Oreochromis niloticus: one gene and its partner. The protein of the gene in region 2 purifies or fractionates together with the protein of the main gene of each other region. This does not show direct contact. Links are inferred from orthologs where the notes say so. Each region holds a gene or a part of one and is shown on either strand. Other genes may lie near its edges.

Region 1 (6,938 bases), on a different chromosome or scaffold from region 2:
CGCCAACATTTTTTTTCTTTTTAAGTGTTTAAAATGTGCTTTCAGCCTCTGGGTGTAAAAAAATCTGCATATTTAGCAGTGAAAAGCTGGAATGCACTGAAACCTGTACAGAAACAAGAACACTGTGTGGGTCTTGTTCACAGCTAATACTGCTATTGTGCAAATTATGTGAAACTGACCTTTTTTTCTTTATTTCACAATGTTTGAGTTTGGCCTAAAGTGGATCATGTTTACAAATAATCAGATTAATTATTGTCTAATTGAGTTGGTCTTTGTATAAACCACTTAATTTTTTTAATGTAAAAAAAATTGCAAGTAAACTCAAATTAATTTTAAGCTTTCTGTAGTCATTTTAGCTTGTATTACCTATCGAACCTCAACAATGCAAATGCAGATTTCCATATTATTTCAGGTGGGAGTGTTTGGAGTTACGTATAACTGAAATTCCACTCTTTTTTTGGGAGTGACCAGTATCCGATCTTTCCACATAAGGTCACTACTAATCTTGTTTTACATACACGACTTAGCAACCCGCTGCACCAGTGGTGTCACAGCTTAAGCTCTCTAACATGTAAACAAAATGGAGAAAAGAAATTAGTGTAGGACCACCTGTTTTAGCTAGCATCCATTCCTAGCATGCTTCCTTGGAATGTTACAGGATTAATGGGCAACTGTAAAGTGCGGTCAGCAGACAAATGTTCATCCAGTGGTTCTAAAACTCCAGGTGGGGTTAAATAACATGGAATATATTATGGATTATGGAAACTTCAGCTCCCCCACTCTGCACAAAAATGATCAATTTCAGAACTCAGCACTGTGCAAAAGTCTTGGGCCGCCCCTCTTGTCCTTATATTTTACTTCCAAGGAGTCAGACCTTTGCAAAAAAAAATGTAAGTGATGTGAGCGATAGTCGTCCAGGCTTTATGACGGTCTTTCAGACTATATTGTTTGTTAAGCCACTTAATGCTGACTTATGAATATAATATTAATTTATTCTAATTTCTTTAGAGCTCTGAAAAATGCCAATCTACACACAAGCCATCAGGCGTTTGAACTGCTGACATACTGCACACACCATTACACACTCACTTTAACACGGTCACTTCGACCACTTTAAATCCTCACTGCACACGTTTTTGCACAAACTGTAAATACCAAACAATTGTCTTAAATTCTATAATATTTCATACTTTAGTATTTTGTTATTATTATAATTATTATTATTATTTTCTTCTTTAATATAACTGCACACTTCTATATGTTCATGTAAAGCTGAGGAGCACAAGCCAAAGAATTTCATGTTGCTACACTGTTTATCTGTACGTGACAATAAAACTTGAAAAAGGTCACAGTTTGACAGACATTAAATAGTATTTTGCTTTGCAGTGTGTTCTAAAACAAATCTGAGGAAACTGAACAGGTGGAGGACAAAAGATGAAGTGGCATGGCTTCATCTTTTGTCATGGTGCGTATGTGATGCTGATTTCATGTCCTATAGGAAAAAAATCCAGCAAAGACCTGACACAGGGCATGCAGGAGGCATCTCGCCATTCAGCTGATCCGTCTGCTGTTTGCCTCTTTTAGAAATGGTCAACAAGCCATTTTTAATAAAATGCCAAATTACACTAGAACCGACTGAAAAGCAGGTATTAGGTTTTATGGAGCGATGAATCCAAATCTAAATGACATCAATATGCAACACTATCAGTCATGGATGGGCCTCCCCAGAGCCCAGACCTCAACAGTGCCGAAGCAGTCTGGGATCATCTTGACAGGAAATGGAACAAAAGGCAGCCAACATCTAAAGCAGAGCTTTGAATGTCTTTCAAGGAGCCTGGAGAACTATTCCTGAAGACTACTTAAAGAAATGAGAAGAAAGCTTGTCTTAAAAAGTTGAGGAATAAAAGTGGTCATACCAAATGTTGACTTTCAAAAACTCTGGTTTGGCTTTATACTGGATTTCCATGTGTTTTTCCCGGAGAAATACAATGAAATGAGGGGTGGCCTAACAACTTTGGTTGTTGTTTTTATTGCCATCACTTATGGAATATCGTAACATTCACACTGCGGCCAAATTCTTGTAAATTCATGCTCGCTGTCATCAGATCTCATTTGTGGGAATTTCGTTCAGCACGTGTGTTCGAACACATCAGAGTTAAATGTCACACTTACAGTAAAAGGTCTAAAGCATCTCTGTAAACTCAGCGATTCAACCTACTTCATTTCCCCTGGAGGAAGAACCTTTTCCATGCTGGTTACCTGCGAGCGACACCTGAAAGTTTGAAAAGGAACAGAGCGAAATAGATGAGAATGCTTCCCTTTCTAAAAAAAATATCCCCAAATCAAAAGGAGATCCTCTCTGTTAAATAAACAATAAAAAAAAAGAACACAAAAAGTTTGCCATTGGTTTAAAGCGCCACATCAGTGCAGAGAGCCACTTTTAGAACAATGGAAACCCAACACGATTATTAAACAGTTTTCTACCAAACACGTGGAGGCATGCGTGTTGAACTACAGGAACTCGGGGTGCAGCTCCCCTCGCAGACTGATGCATTACTTTTCATCCATCCATCTAATTATTCCCTTAGAAACCTGAAATTTGAAGATACAAAAGACCATCCCTATCTGTCACTGAGCGGCATTGATCTTATTGAGAGAAAATGTGGGTGTAGAGGAAACCCAATATAACTCATGCCATTAAATTCCACACAGCATTATTCACATACAGAATTGACAGATTTCTGTGAGACGTTTCTTTTAATCTTCAACTGTTGTTGAAGAAAAAGGGGGAAAAAAATCCCACACTCCAGGCATCTCTCCTTTCTCCATATTTGCAGTGAGGTTAACAAAAAAGGCGATTGAAGTAGGGAGAAAAAACACAGCCCCACCTAACTTGTTGATTATTAACAATGGGGATGGGAAGAAGACAGATGTGTTTCCTGTGTATCAGCGCTGTTTGAATTGTCAGTCTGAAATCACCGCTGAAGCTCTTATCAAAGCAAAGTAAGCTGATCAGTTCCAGTTGCGCTCGCTGTCCACGCGAGTCAATCCGCGGCACCATTTTTTTGTCAATAAATTCTCTTAATATTCCCAATTAGAGACTCTGCGCGTGTCATGTGCACACGTGCAATGATAGCAAGCGAGACTGTGAGCAAATAACCGAGGATATGCGTGTGCTTCAGTGGATTCAGCACACCCTGGCTGCCTCTGCACACTTAAACCTTCTTACACTGCCTCAACAGATTGTCATGCAAATTCTGAGCAAAGTTGGAATACCAAATGTTTTAGTTTTGTTGCAACTTAAGAATGACATCCCAGACAGTGGTGGGTGGTATAAAGAAAAACGCAACGATTATGAGCAAAAATTGGCATAAAAAATAAAAAAGTCGAGACAATCGCGGGAGGCTTGGACAACAGGCCCACTTCACAGAGGTGACGTGGGCCTGTTGTCCTATGAAAGCTGGGATCATCTTCTGTTCAACCACAGAAGTGAACTGGAGAGGTGTGGATGGATTTTGCAACACGAAGGTGTAACGTTTTGGTATAATGCAACTTCTTCAAACTAAGCACAGAGCGATAACTGTAATGCTATTTATCCATCTAAATTATTCTGGTGTGAGCTGCACAGCTTTTGAGGTGCCTGCTATAGACATACCTGTTTTTCCTTTAATATAAGCAGATGCCACTTGTCTACAAGTGCGTTTGAAAAGCCCAGCAGCAATTAAAAGTGAAAAGCTCGAGAAAGAGCCAGTAAATGCACCATAAGTTGAAACAGGAAACTTCTCCTCTGTCCGTAAATAACACGCTTCAGTGTAAAGACAGCGCGAGGTGGTGATTCGAAGTCGCTCCTTTGAATCTCGCGGTATTTGACAGTTTCCCTTCGCTCTTTGACACTCGCCCCTCCCCTGCGCTCCGGGAATGCTGGGTTGTTTACATTACAGTCACACGGGTCAGCATTGTGGTGATGAGGGGGGCCTAGTAGTGGAGAGTCTGTCCGAAAACACGTACACATCTCGCCTGGCTGTGCGGCACAGGCGCTCTCTGCGAGACAACTTTCCAGCTCAGTCACGGTGCCACGCAGGAACAGAGGCCCGCCGAGTCCACTTCTCGCAGCGACCTTGGAAAGAAAGGGAAAGTCAAAACAAAGACAACCGCCATAACCATCAGGAAAAAGCCTCAGCGTGAAGAAGGAATAGCTTAGCAACAGTCTCCCACTTCCTGGTAAGAACTGACACGGCGTTAGCTGATAGTGAACTTTTTGAAACTCAGCTACTGCTAATGAACTCCTCGTAAGCTGCTGCTCTTTGCGCTTTAACTTCTTCGGAAAGTGACAGACTTTTTAAAAAGTTCGTAGTAGCCACCAGTTGCCCTTCAGACACAACTTTGTCGCTCATTTGAAGAAGTTTTGTGAAGTTCGCTAGCTAGGCTAGCTTGTTAGCTTCCTAGCATGTCGCTTTGCGGACTTTATCTCTATAAAACTGGACAGTTGAAGGTGTCAGTAAACGCTTCCAGCTGCTTTGTACGTTTATATTACAATGTGCGCAAAACGGCTTTGTGCTAAAGTGCTAAAGCGGCTAATCCTGCGGTGCCAACATGACAGTGGACACTTGTTGCTACAATGTTACAGTCATGTTACACGTAGTACACAACAGCTTTCAAACAGTAGTAATCACACAGCCTCGGTGATGTCTTTACAGCCTTTCTTTACATCCTTGGTTGTCAGTAGTTTATGATGTGAAGGTATTTTTTTATGTCAAAGACTTATTTTGTGTAATGTGTCAATCGTGATGTGCAACGTGTCTGTCAACATTGCTTACTCTACTTTGGATCTGAAGTCTCAGCTGTCAGTAAGGACATTTGTGGAGGAATTCCTAGTCGAGTAGTATAACATCCATGAACATGACTGCAGCAGGGCCAAAGCAGGGTTGGATATGGAGTGGATGCCTTCCACGAACCTCTGCTTGGCACCCATGCTCTGTAAATATAAACCCAGTAGTTTACATGCATCCCTACTGTAATTTTCCCGTGGATGGCAATTTTTTTTTTTATGTGTGGAGACTAAAATTTAAAACAACCAAGAGATATTTTGATAGAGGAAAAAAAAAAATGAAGTCAAGTAAATAATTTTGAGGTTTAGATTCAATAACACTGATGAAATTACTGTGTTCTGATGTTTTATAGATCAAAATCTAAATTGATTTATCTTACAATTATCACTGATAATGGGGAAAAAATAATGCTCTTTTTATAAATTTAATAAAAAATGAAAAATTTGAAGTGAATCTGCCTTAGTTTAGTTTCTTTTAGTTGTCATATGTGGGATTGTGTTATTAAACTCAAGCCAAAGTAGCTGTCAGACAAATTGCAAATATGTTATTATATGGAAGTTCAAAAAACAAACCCACCTCTGCATTTTCTTTTTTTTAATCTAGGAAAACATGTAAAGGCGTATTACAAAACACTTGTTTCTTAACCTTTTAGTAATTTTTGGAAAAGGCATACGCGCTTCCAGCTGTCTTTTTGTTCCACGCTGCCAAACACAATAAAAACTATACACTTGGTAGACGAGGTTTGTTTGGAAGAGAGCTGCAAGTCGTTATAAAGAAGTAATTTATTCAAATAAAAAATAAATCAGAGATCAGGCCTTTCTCGTTTTACTTCCTTTGTTGTGAGTCAGAGTAGTTATTGCAAAACCTTTACACACTCATGGCGTCCACAGTTTTGTTGGAACTTTGTAATTTCTCATCTTTAATTTTGAACATAATAATATTAAAAATACAAATTATAATAACAATGGCATGAGTAGAAAAACAAGTTGGGGGAAAAAAAGGAGTAAATACAAGCCAAAGGCACAACAAACAAAACAAATACCACCGGATTTCTCTGCACAGGTATGTGGGCGGCTTCATCTCCGCTAAGCCTAATCATCTCGGGGTCAGATGTAGGTTGAAAGCAGTATCCCGTGCCACGTTGCTGTCGCTGCCTATCACAGCCAAATATTTCAGGCGTCATACTATCACGTTTGGCTACGCTGCAGAGAGATGATTCAAACCAGAGTTAGTGGGAGCTGACATACCTTGTTGACCCAATTATTACTCACTTCTCTGTTGCCACATCCGATTATCGTCAGACAACAGGCTCGAGTCTGCCAGCGTCATCAGGTGATTGAGATGAACACTGGCTGGCTCTGTGAAGTTGACTATCAAGGAATGTGTCATGAACCGGATGATCAGAAAATGGCTGCCAAATGTTTGCATCAGTCTCTGTGATGAGGGATTTCTGCCAGTAACATCCCACTTTGAATTTGAGCTGATGAGAGGTGGATTACTTTTGACAGGCTCTGGCAAAACTTGGCTGTTTAGCCCCGTTCTGTTGTTTGGATTTAATAAAAGTCTTATTGAATGGCAACTCGGGGAAAGTAGAAACTGAAAATTGTTCATGTTAGAAATTGTTTAAGCCATTATTTATTGTAAGAGACATTGATGATGCCATTAATTGAAGAAATAAAGTTTTGTTTTAGAAGCACAGATATTTGATGGCGCCCGGGGTCACATACATACACATTGTCTGATAGCAGCACGACATTCAGAGCGAGGACTGAAATGCCATTCATCGGTGTGGAGAAATGTGCAGCACTGCAGCGGTGATTTAGCACAGTGGAATTTACCAAATAGCTCAATCTTGTGTGAGTTTCCTGTTTTAGCCCTGAAGCCGCCCCCCCTCCTGGATTAAAGATCAGATGAGACATTTGTCATCTGACCACTTTTAACAGTCATCTTGCCTTTGGGTTTTCACAGAGAACAAAAAAAATGTTGGCTCTTTTCTTTTCTTTCACAGAGCATATTTGAAGGAAGATGCTTCCCGAGGCCATTTCGAGCTACATTAAACGCTGTCTTTTGCATGATGTCAAAGACCTTGGCCAAGCATTGTGCAGAAAA
Region 2 (7,753 bases):
GGACGACAAGTTACAACAGTTACCACTTTTATGGTTTTATTCAAATATCATACACAAACCTCTAAGCACCGCCACCATTAAGCTACAGGAGACACACACGTTTCTTTGCTTGTCTGTCGAGCATTTTTAAAGCTAGCATGGACGGTTGCAAAATGGCGCCAGCTAGTTACCGCGAAGATTTACACTAAAATTAACCAATTAATATCACCAAAAACAACACGGCACTCAGTCGTATAAGTGAACATTAACATTAGTTTATAATTATGTAGTCATACCCTAAGAGCAGTCAAATCGGCTCAATTTAAGCCATCAGCTAGCTCTTAGCTACAGAGCGCGCCGTTTTGTTGTCAGTTTTTCAAAGCTTCTCATTAACACCAAAACTCAAAAAGATAATATATCCAATTCACATACTGACGATTTTAAATAAAACCCATAAACAAACATAACAGCCATACCTTGGATCACTTTCGTTGTTCGGGGAAATTCAATGACTCCTCCTTGTTAGTCACTTCGCTATGTTGCCCTGAGGGCTGAGGAGGTGGTATTTATAGATTAAGCGGAGCAGCGCTCGAAGCCCGCCCCTGAACGTATCCAATTGGTCCAAACTGAAATCCCTAACGGAATATGATTAGTTCAGGAAAAAGGAGGCTCTCTGCCTCTGCGTGTGAAGTTAGAGCGGATCGTCAGATGTACCTTATTTTAAAAAGAAGCATGTCGTTATTTTGATTTTAATTATTCACCCGCAGCTTTTCTCTCTTATTCCACACAGTTATACATATAATTTTGTCTGTGTAATCTTAGAACCTGGGAATTCCTTTCTGAAAACATGGTGGTCACTGACCGCCCCCCTCTTTTAACTAATTAAGACAAGCGGGAACAATGCTGCCATACTTATGCTGTAGCCTGTACTATGTGAAAAGGCAAATGAAGTACACAGAAGACATTCTGAAAAAGCATATGTGCACCTCACAAATCGACATACACGCTCCATACATAAACCTCTTCATATATAAATGGGAAGCTTTAGTGTGATACATAATTCTGGAGCTGACAGAAACTCGATGGATGAAGCATTGTCCAACAGACCTAGGACACATTTCCTCGAACTCTGTGCCTGCTGTGAAAAAAAAAAACCGGAGAGAAGCGGGAGCGTACCAAGTCATCCTCATCACCATCATAAACGAAAAAGGTTCGGTTATTTGTATTCGAAATAATCTAATAATGATGCACTCGAATAAAGCCTTATCAGCACAGTGATATGATTGTACACTATTTATTTGCTTATTTAATTATATAAAATAATAAGCCTTTTTGTTATCTCAGGTAAAAGTTGCTTTAAAAGCGTACATAAATAGACAGTGTTCTTATTTCAAAGATTTTTCAATGAAAATGTTCAAAAAATGAAAAATAAATAGACAAATAAGCGCGAGAGCACTGAACATGCACGCGCGGAACGAAGCGGGCGTTGAGAAAGTGTAAGTACACGGACCTCTTCTCGGGTAACACCGGTGGTAAGTGTCTGGTTTGGGGATTGGACATGTTTTTAAAGAGACCGAAGAGCTAAAGAAATTTTAAAAATGTTTAAAAACGTATGCAGGGTTCACTGAATATGTTTGCATCGAGTTAAAAAACCGGAAATTCGCGTTTCGACTAAAAAACTACAGCTCTGAAGACTCAGCATGGCCGACCAGAGGCTGTTGTACATCGGTATATTATAACGAAATAACACACATGCATGTGTTCGACCTGTTATTACTGGACAGAACGGGGTTTTTAAATCTTTTAAGTGAACGCTTAAAAGATTTCAAGCAACTGAAACGCACATAAGGGTTTTATGTCGGTGTTATCATTTCTCACAGTTAAAGTGTTATATTGAAATTACATTGCTCTCAAAAGTGAGATAAACTAATGTTTGTGTGTCCTTTGTGTTCATTCAACAGATATCAAAGCTGAATCGAACAGCTCCACACCTGCTGCAGCCGAGAAGCCCCTCTGGACTCGCAGCGATAACGTCTTCAGGTTTAACTTCTTCCCTGACAGTTCTCCAGCAACTTCAGAGAAAACACCTGCATCGGACTGGACTGAGCCAACGAGCCAGATTTCCTTCACTGAACAGGGCTCTGCTTTTGCCTTCAACTTTCAAATTCCTCCTGCAGAGGACATGGACACAACAGACACCCCAAATACTTCTCAAGGTGACCGACAGTGCGTCCCAGAGGAGAAGCCTCCCCTTTCGCAGGAGGTTGAGTCTCCACCTGAACAATCTGAGCAATCAAAAACAAAGAAGAAGAAAAAGAAATCAGGGAAGAAAAACCCCTCGAGTATTGAGCCACTGCAGAAGCCAGCTGAGGGGAGTGAAGGTGCTGCAGAGGAGCTGGTCAGTGCGCAGTGCTTTAAAGTAATTACAGTGGGTTTGAGGTGAGCAGTTTGATTGGTTGATTTTATGTCTGAATGTGTTTTAGAGTCAAGAAGAGCAGCTGAAAAGGGAGCTGGACTGGTGCATCGAGCAGCTGGAGCTGGGCCTGAAGTCCCAGAAGGGCACACCGAAGCAGAGTTAGTGAGATTTGTACCTCAGAAGTACTATGATGTGGTTGGAAGGGACATGCAGTGAATCCAAGTGTGAACGTAGCCTAGACTAAACTAATATTCAGGATTCTTTAATGTTTAATCTATGATCTAAACAAGATCATACAAAAAAGTAAACTTCTAATCATGGTGTCACCTATTGAATATGTTCTCCCTTCAGAGGACGAGGCCTCGCGTGCACTGAAGACTCTGCGCAGCTCCAAAGCTCCTCTGCCCAAGAAGAGGCAGGTGATGAGAGCTGTAACTGGAGACTACAGAAAGAAGATGGAAGAGGAGAAGAGCAAGCAATTCAAACTCATTCAGAGCGGTGAGTGAATTTTGTAGCAGCGGATTCATTAGAATGGTTAAAAACTGCAGCTGGCTAACGGGTTTCTCTGTGCCCTGATAGAAATTGCATCAGCCCAGGTCAAACTTGTGTCAGAGTCCCCAAAGAAGTCTGTTTTCCACCGGAGAGCTGAAGTCAAAACTCAGACATCGCTTGCTGAGGAGAAGCTGCAGCACACTGAAGCCCAGGGTGCAGAGCTGACGCCGCAGACTCAGGAGGCAACACCGGCTTTTGTTTTTATCCCATCGAAGGAGGAGTTTCACTTCAATTTTCTCTGATTTGTCTGTCCTGATGCCAAGTCCTTCACAATGCATCATGCTGGAGCTAAAGTGCTACGTAGGCTGGCAGAACGGCACCACCAGAGATCTGTGGACAACCTTCTGGTGAACGCTGAAGATATGAGAAGAGAAGATGTCACAATCTCTGTGCTTACAGACAAAACCTTTAACTAATACATTTTTACAAAGCGTGATCCATTCACTGAATTAATGTGATTGCTCAAATCTCAAGAGAAGCTTATTCAAGTCCATTCAGGCTGACAGCATGGCGACTCGAGACATGTTACCATAAATACTGGAGTCCTGTGGATTACACCTGAGGTGCCAAAATATCTTGTATATTTAGAAAAACAGACAAATAAGTTTTTGTTGGACTTCTAAGATAATAATCATGTTAATTCAGAAAAAATGGTTCAAAGCATTCAAGTTTTTTTTATCATATTGCTAAATAAATACATTTTAAAAAATAAAACTTTGGTATTTTTGCTTGTAGTGTCTTCATTAAATGCAATGATAAAATGAAATAAAGATTTTTAAGTAAAATCTGAGTTTACAGTTAATAATCCATATTGATTCATAGTTTTTTTTTCATCACTAAGGCTAACATATATTCCACAAAGGCTTTATACATTCAAAAAGGAAATGCACCTCTTGATTCAGTAACTTGTAGAACCACTTTAAGGAGCAACAACTTGAGCACTAATTGTTTTCTGGGATTAATGTCCTCTCCTGGGGATGTTTATAGCATTAATGCTACAGCAAACTTCCAAAACTTCTACTTTTCACAGCTGCTGATGAATAATTTAGTTAAGTATTTGATTAGCAGTACCTTGCTGCAACTTATCCAATTAATTCTTATGGAAGCAGTAAGGATTTACTGCCTCTAGTTTTGCACACTGCATAGTCCTGTAAAACCTTCCTTTTCACGTGACTGTATGTACCGCTTTTTATTAAAAGGGAAACTGGCTAAGTTAGCTTTGATTTACTCATATATATTTTAAAGTTTAGTCACTAATCTCACTTTATGTTCAATCTTCACTTTATACAAATATGAAAATGTTATTGTTAATGACTGAGTTAAGGTTGATTCTTTAATTTGTCCCTTTTTGTCACGTTTTTACAAAGCTACACTCACAGACACAGTCAAAATGCCTCTAAAACTACAATACAATTACAAAAAAACAAAAAAATCACAATGAATGAAAATGTACACACAAATGTAAAAGCCACTGGAAGACATCAGATTGGGCAATGCACATCAATCGAATTTCCTGATTATTAATTCACACACATTTTTTTTTAAACTGTACTTTTCATTTACTTGAATATTTTGATTAAATGATGAAGTATTGCTAACTCCATGATAACACACAATAACACTGAATATGTTGTAAATGATTCATAGACTTTTAAACTCAGCCTGTGTGTGTAAAACAGAGAAGTTGACCTTGAGAGCAAACATGAATCAAGAGTTTGTGTAAAGAACATACATTCCTGTGTTTATTTCCCGTTTAAGGAAGCGTGATTCCTCAGATTTTCCCTTTAAAGTGTCTCTCAGACAGGATAGGGTGGTGCAAGGCTCAGCACGGACACATTAGAGTGTGACACACAACTAGAAAAGTTTCGGCTGCTGAGAAAACAAACTACCTGCTGACTGTAAGTTTGAACTCGTTATATTTTTCTGCACTCTGAAATACTCGTTTGCTTCTGTTGTCTTCTGAGTATTTAATTAGTTTATTTCACTGTGTTGGTTTTATTCCAGAGACCAAAAGTTTAGACGCTCACCTCGCTAAGCTAAATTAGCCAGAGGAGTCATGAGCCCTGTGAAATTACCGTTAGCTTTAAAGTAGCCGCTATTTGTGAGCCTGTATAAGTCAGGATTGTTTATGTTTTCCATCAACTGAAGCTACAGCATTTGGGGCTTCTTGCAGGCTCGTAAGCCCCTGGTTTTAAAGTTTGAAACCAGGGCGTTGTAGTTTGTTTAGAGCAGTTTATGGTGTCTCTGTTTCCCAGGAGAAAAGAGTGAAGATGTCCGAGTTAAGCGATGAGGCCAGTGAGTCAGAACAGCTGGGTGCCAGCCTCTCCCTGTGGCTGGGTGACTCCCTGGTGCGAGCTGAGGAGCTGGATGTCCCTCTGGACCTTCACACCGCCTGCTCCATCGGCCAGTACGACGTGGTGGCTGAGTGCATTAAAAAGTGAGGGCCTCTTAATACCAACATTTCCACACGGGCTAATATCCTCCACAGCTTATTCACATAACTGTGTGTGCTTTCAGGCGTGAGGTGGACCTGGATGGTAAGAACATTGGAGGATGGACCCCACTTATGTATGCGTCCTACATTGGTCATGACAACATTGCAAATCTGCTGCTGGAGGCCCGTGTGAATGTAAATTCCACCACCGCCAAAGGACTCACACCCCTCATGCTGGCCGCAAGCTGTGGGAACGAAAGTATCGCATACTTTCTGCTTCAGGTACAGAATCACCCTGAATGGGGGGGGGACAAAACAATGGCTCAGAGATTTGTGATGATGTGAAGCCTCAGAATGACAAAAAGAGTTTGAAAAGAGACAGAAAGCAAATAACAAGTTAAAATAAACTCCAAGAATTAGATGGGAAGCAGATGGACAGTAACTGAAGGGTAGATCCAGCCAAAAAAAGATGCAAAATAAACCCCAGCAGTTATAATGGCATGTTAAAACAGCAAATGATACACAAGGCACACTTGCATGCGGCCTTTTAGTCTGTGAGCATCACTTCTCTGAAGGGTATGTCAGGCCACAGGGGTATGTGTTCTCACAGCCTACCCACGTGTAACCTTTGTTTTAGAGGTTAACTAACATACAGTGGTTTCTTTTTGCCACTGTGGATTTCCATGAGACAATGAGTTTGGATCTTTATGTGTGTGTGTGTATATATATATATATATATATATATATATATATATATATATATATATATATATTATTGTGAATGCAATAACTCAAGGATGTCACTTGAAGGAGGAGGCTGAGGGGTAGCACTGTCAATGTTTTTTCTGCATGATATTGAAAATAACTGTCTGTGTTTCGAAGACGTGTTTTAAAAATCGCCTTTTAAAACTAACCACGCCTATCAACACTACTGCTCGCGTGTAATTTTGCCCTGTTTAGTAAATCTGGCCTTGGGTTTGGATTCAACTCTTTTTTTAACTTTAAATTTTATTGTGAACATTCAGCATTTTTTTTCTTTTCTTCTTCCTTTTTTTTTTTTTTTCTTCCTTATTAAACCCAAAAAGCAAGGGGCTGATTTGGAGTTGAAGGACTCTCGAGGCTGGACCGCTCTGTTCCACTGCACAAGCACAGGCCACCAACAGATGGTCAAGTTCCTGCTGGATAACAATGCTGACGCCAATGTCAAGTGAGTGTCTTTATTTGCTGTAAAAAAAGACCATCCAAAAAAATAACGATCTGTTCACACTTTTGAGATTTCCATGATTCTTCCCTCATACACAGGGAGCCAGGTTCTGGCTTCACGCCGCTGATGGAGGCTGCTGCTTCTGGGCATGAAATCATTGTTCAGTACTTACTTGATCATGTAAGTAGGTTACTGTGCTGGAACATACTCGTGTGTGAGTGCAAGTGGTTATGAGTACTTGGTCAGCCAGACCATGTCATTCTCCTTTTTTTGCCGCATCTCCATCTCCTGTCCCTCTTCAACATCTTAAAGATGGAGCCACATCACTGGAAAATGTAACTGACATGACTCGCACACCGCTGAGGATGGGTGGTGACGTTCCTTTCTCACAATTTGGTAATCCTTTGAATTTTCAGAAAGTTAAAGTGGACGAACGCAACACCAAAGGTGAGACGGCGCGTGCTCTGGCTATGATGTACGGCTATACCAAAATTGTCAGCCTCATTGACTCACGTTCTCCAAGAATTAAACCAGGTACTGGTTTAAACGGCTCAGCATCTAAAATTCCTGTCTTTACTAGGTCTTTCATTGCCTTTTAGTTTCTAATGTTTTTTTTCGGTGGGGGGGGGTTTGGTACGTGTGTTCTGTTTTGTCAGGACACTTTGAAGATCTGAGCTCCTCCGAGGACTCGGACAGCGCACCACCGAGGATACGGCCCAGCCGAAACCGAGCTAAAGGCATCAGCATCCACGATGGGCCTCAGGCCATCGCCAAGTTCCGAGTAGGAGGCACCAGCAAACTGTGTGGTACAGTGTCATGTAAAACATCCGGTCTTCAACCTGTATCTGTGCTGAGCCACACTTTGAACACCACGTTTGTTCTAGTTATGAAGTTAAATTGCATTTTTTTAAAAAAAAGCTGTTTCTAAGGGTTCCCACAGGTCCTTAGAAAGTATGAAATTAAAGTAAAAGAAATAAAGGTCTTAAAGTGCCTTACATTTCCAGTAAATCTGCTCTTGGTGGTTATTTTTAAGATTGGTAGAAAAAATCAGATTCATTTTTTATTACGTTTTTAAAAATTACTGTGCTTTAATGTGATTTGTTTTGAGCTACAGTCTCTTTATTATCACAGGAATTTACACATACACATTTAAAATTGTAGCTACATG

The links. The genes of interacting proteins can lie anywhere in the genome.
Region 1: the proteins of anks3 (region 2) and nek7 purify together in Homo sapiens (affinity purification with mass spectrometry; 3 studies listed by BioGRID and IntAct, with this or other methods). This does not show direct contact. The link is inferred for Oreochromis niloticus from reciprocal best matches to the Homo sapiens genes ANKS3 and NEK7.

What each region holds. Positions count from the first base shown.
Region 1 is NC_031981.2:1,440,412-1,447,349, forward strand, and holds the start of nek7 (serine/threonine-protein kinase Nek7), read left to right. Parts: upstream 1-3,934; 5' UTR 3,935-4,221; intron 4,222-6,938. UniProt on the Homo sapiens protein: Protein kinase which plays an important role in mitotic cell cycle progression. Required for microtubule nucleation activity of the centrosome, robust mitotic spindle formation and cytokinesis.
Region 2 is NC_031973.2:19,315,222-19,322,974, reverse strand, and holds the start of anks3 (ankyrin repeat and SAM domain-containing protein 3), read left to right. Parts: upstream 1-4,742; 5' UTR 4,743-4,845; intron 4,846-5,202; 5' UTR 5,203-5,217; coding exon 5,218-5,384; intron 5,385-5,464; coding exon 5,465-5,663; intron 5,664-6,466; coding exon 6,467-6,588; intron 6,589-6,683; coding exon 6,684-6,765; intron 6,766-7,001; coding exon 7,002-7,119; intron 7,120-7,241; coding exon 7,242-7,391; intron 7,392-7,753. Other genes in the region: lg8h8orf33 (UPF0488 protein C8orf33 homolog), read left to right, coding at 1,066-1,189, 1,941-2,377, 2,463-2,553, 2,747-2,893, 2,975-3,189. UniProt on the Homo sapiens protein: May be involved in vasopressin signaling in the kidney.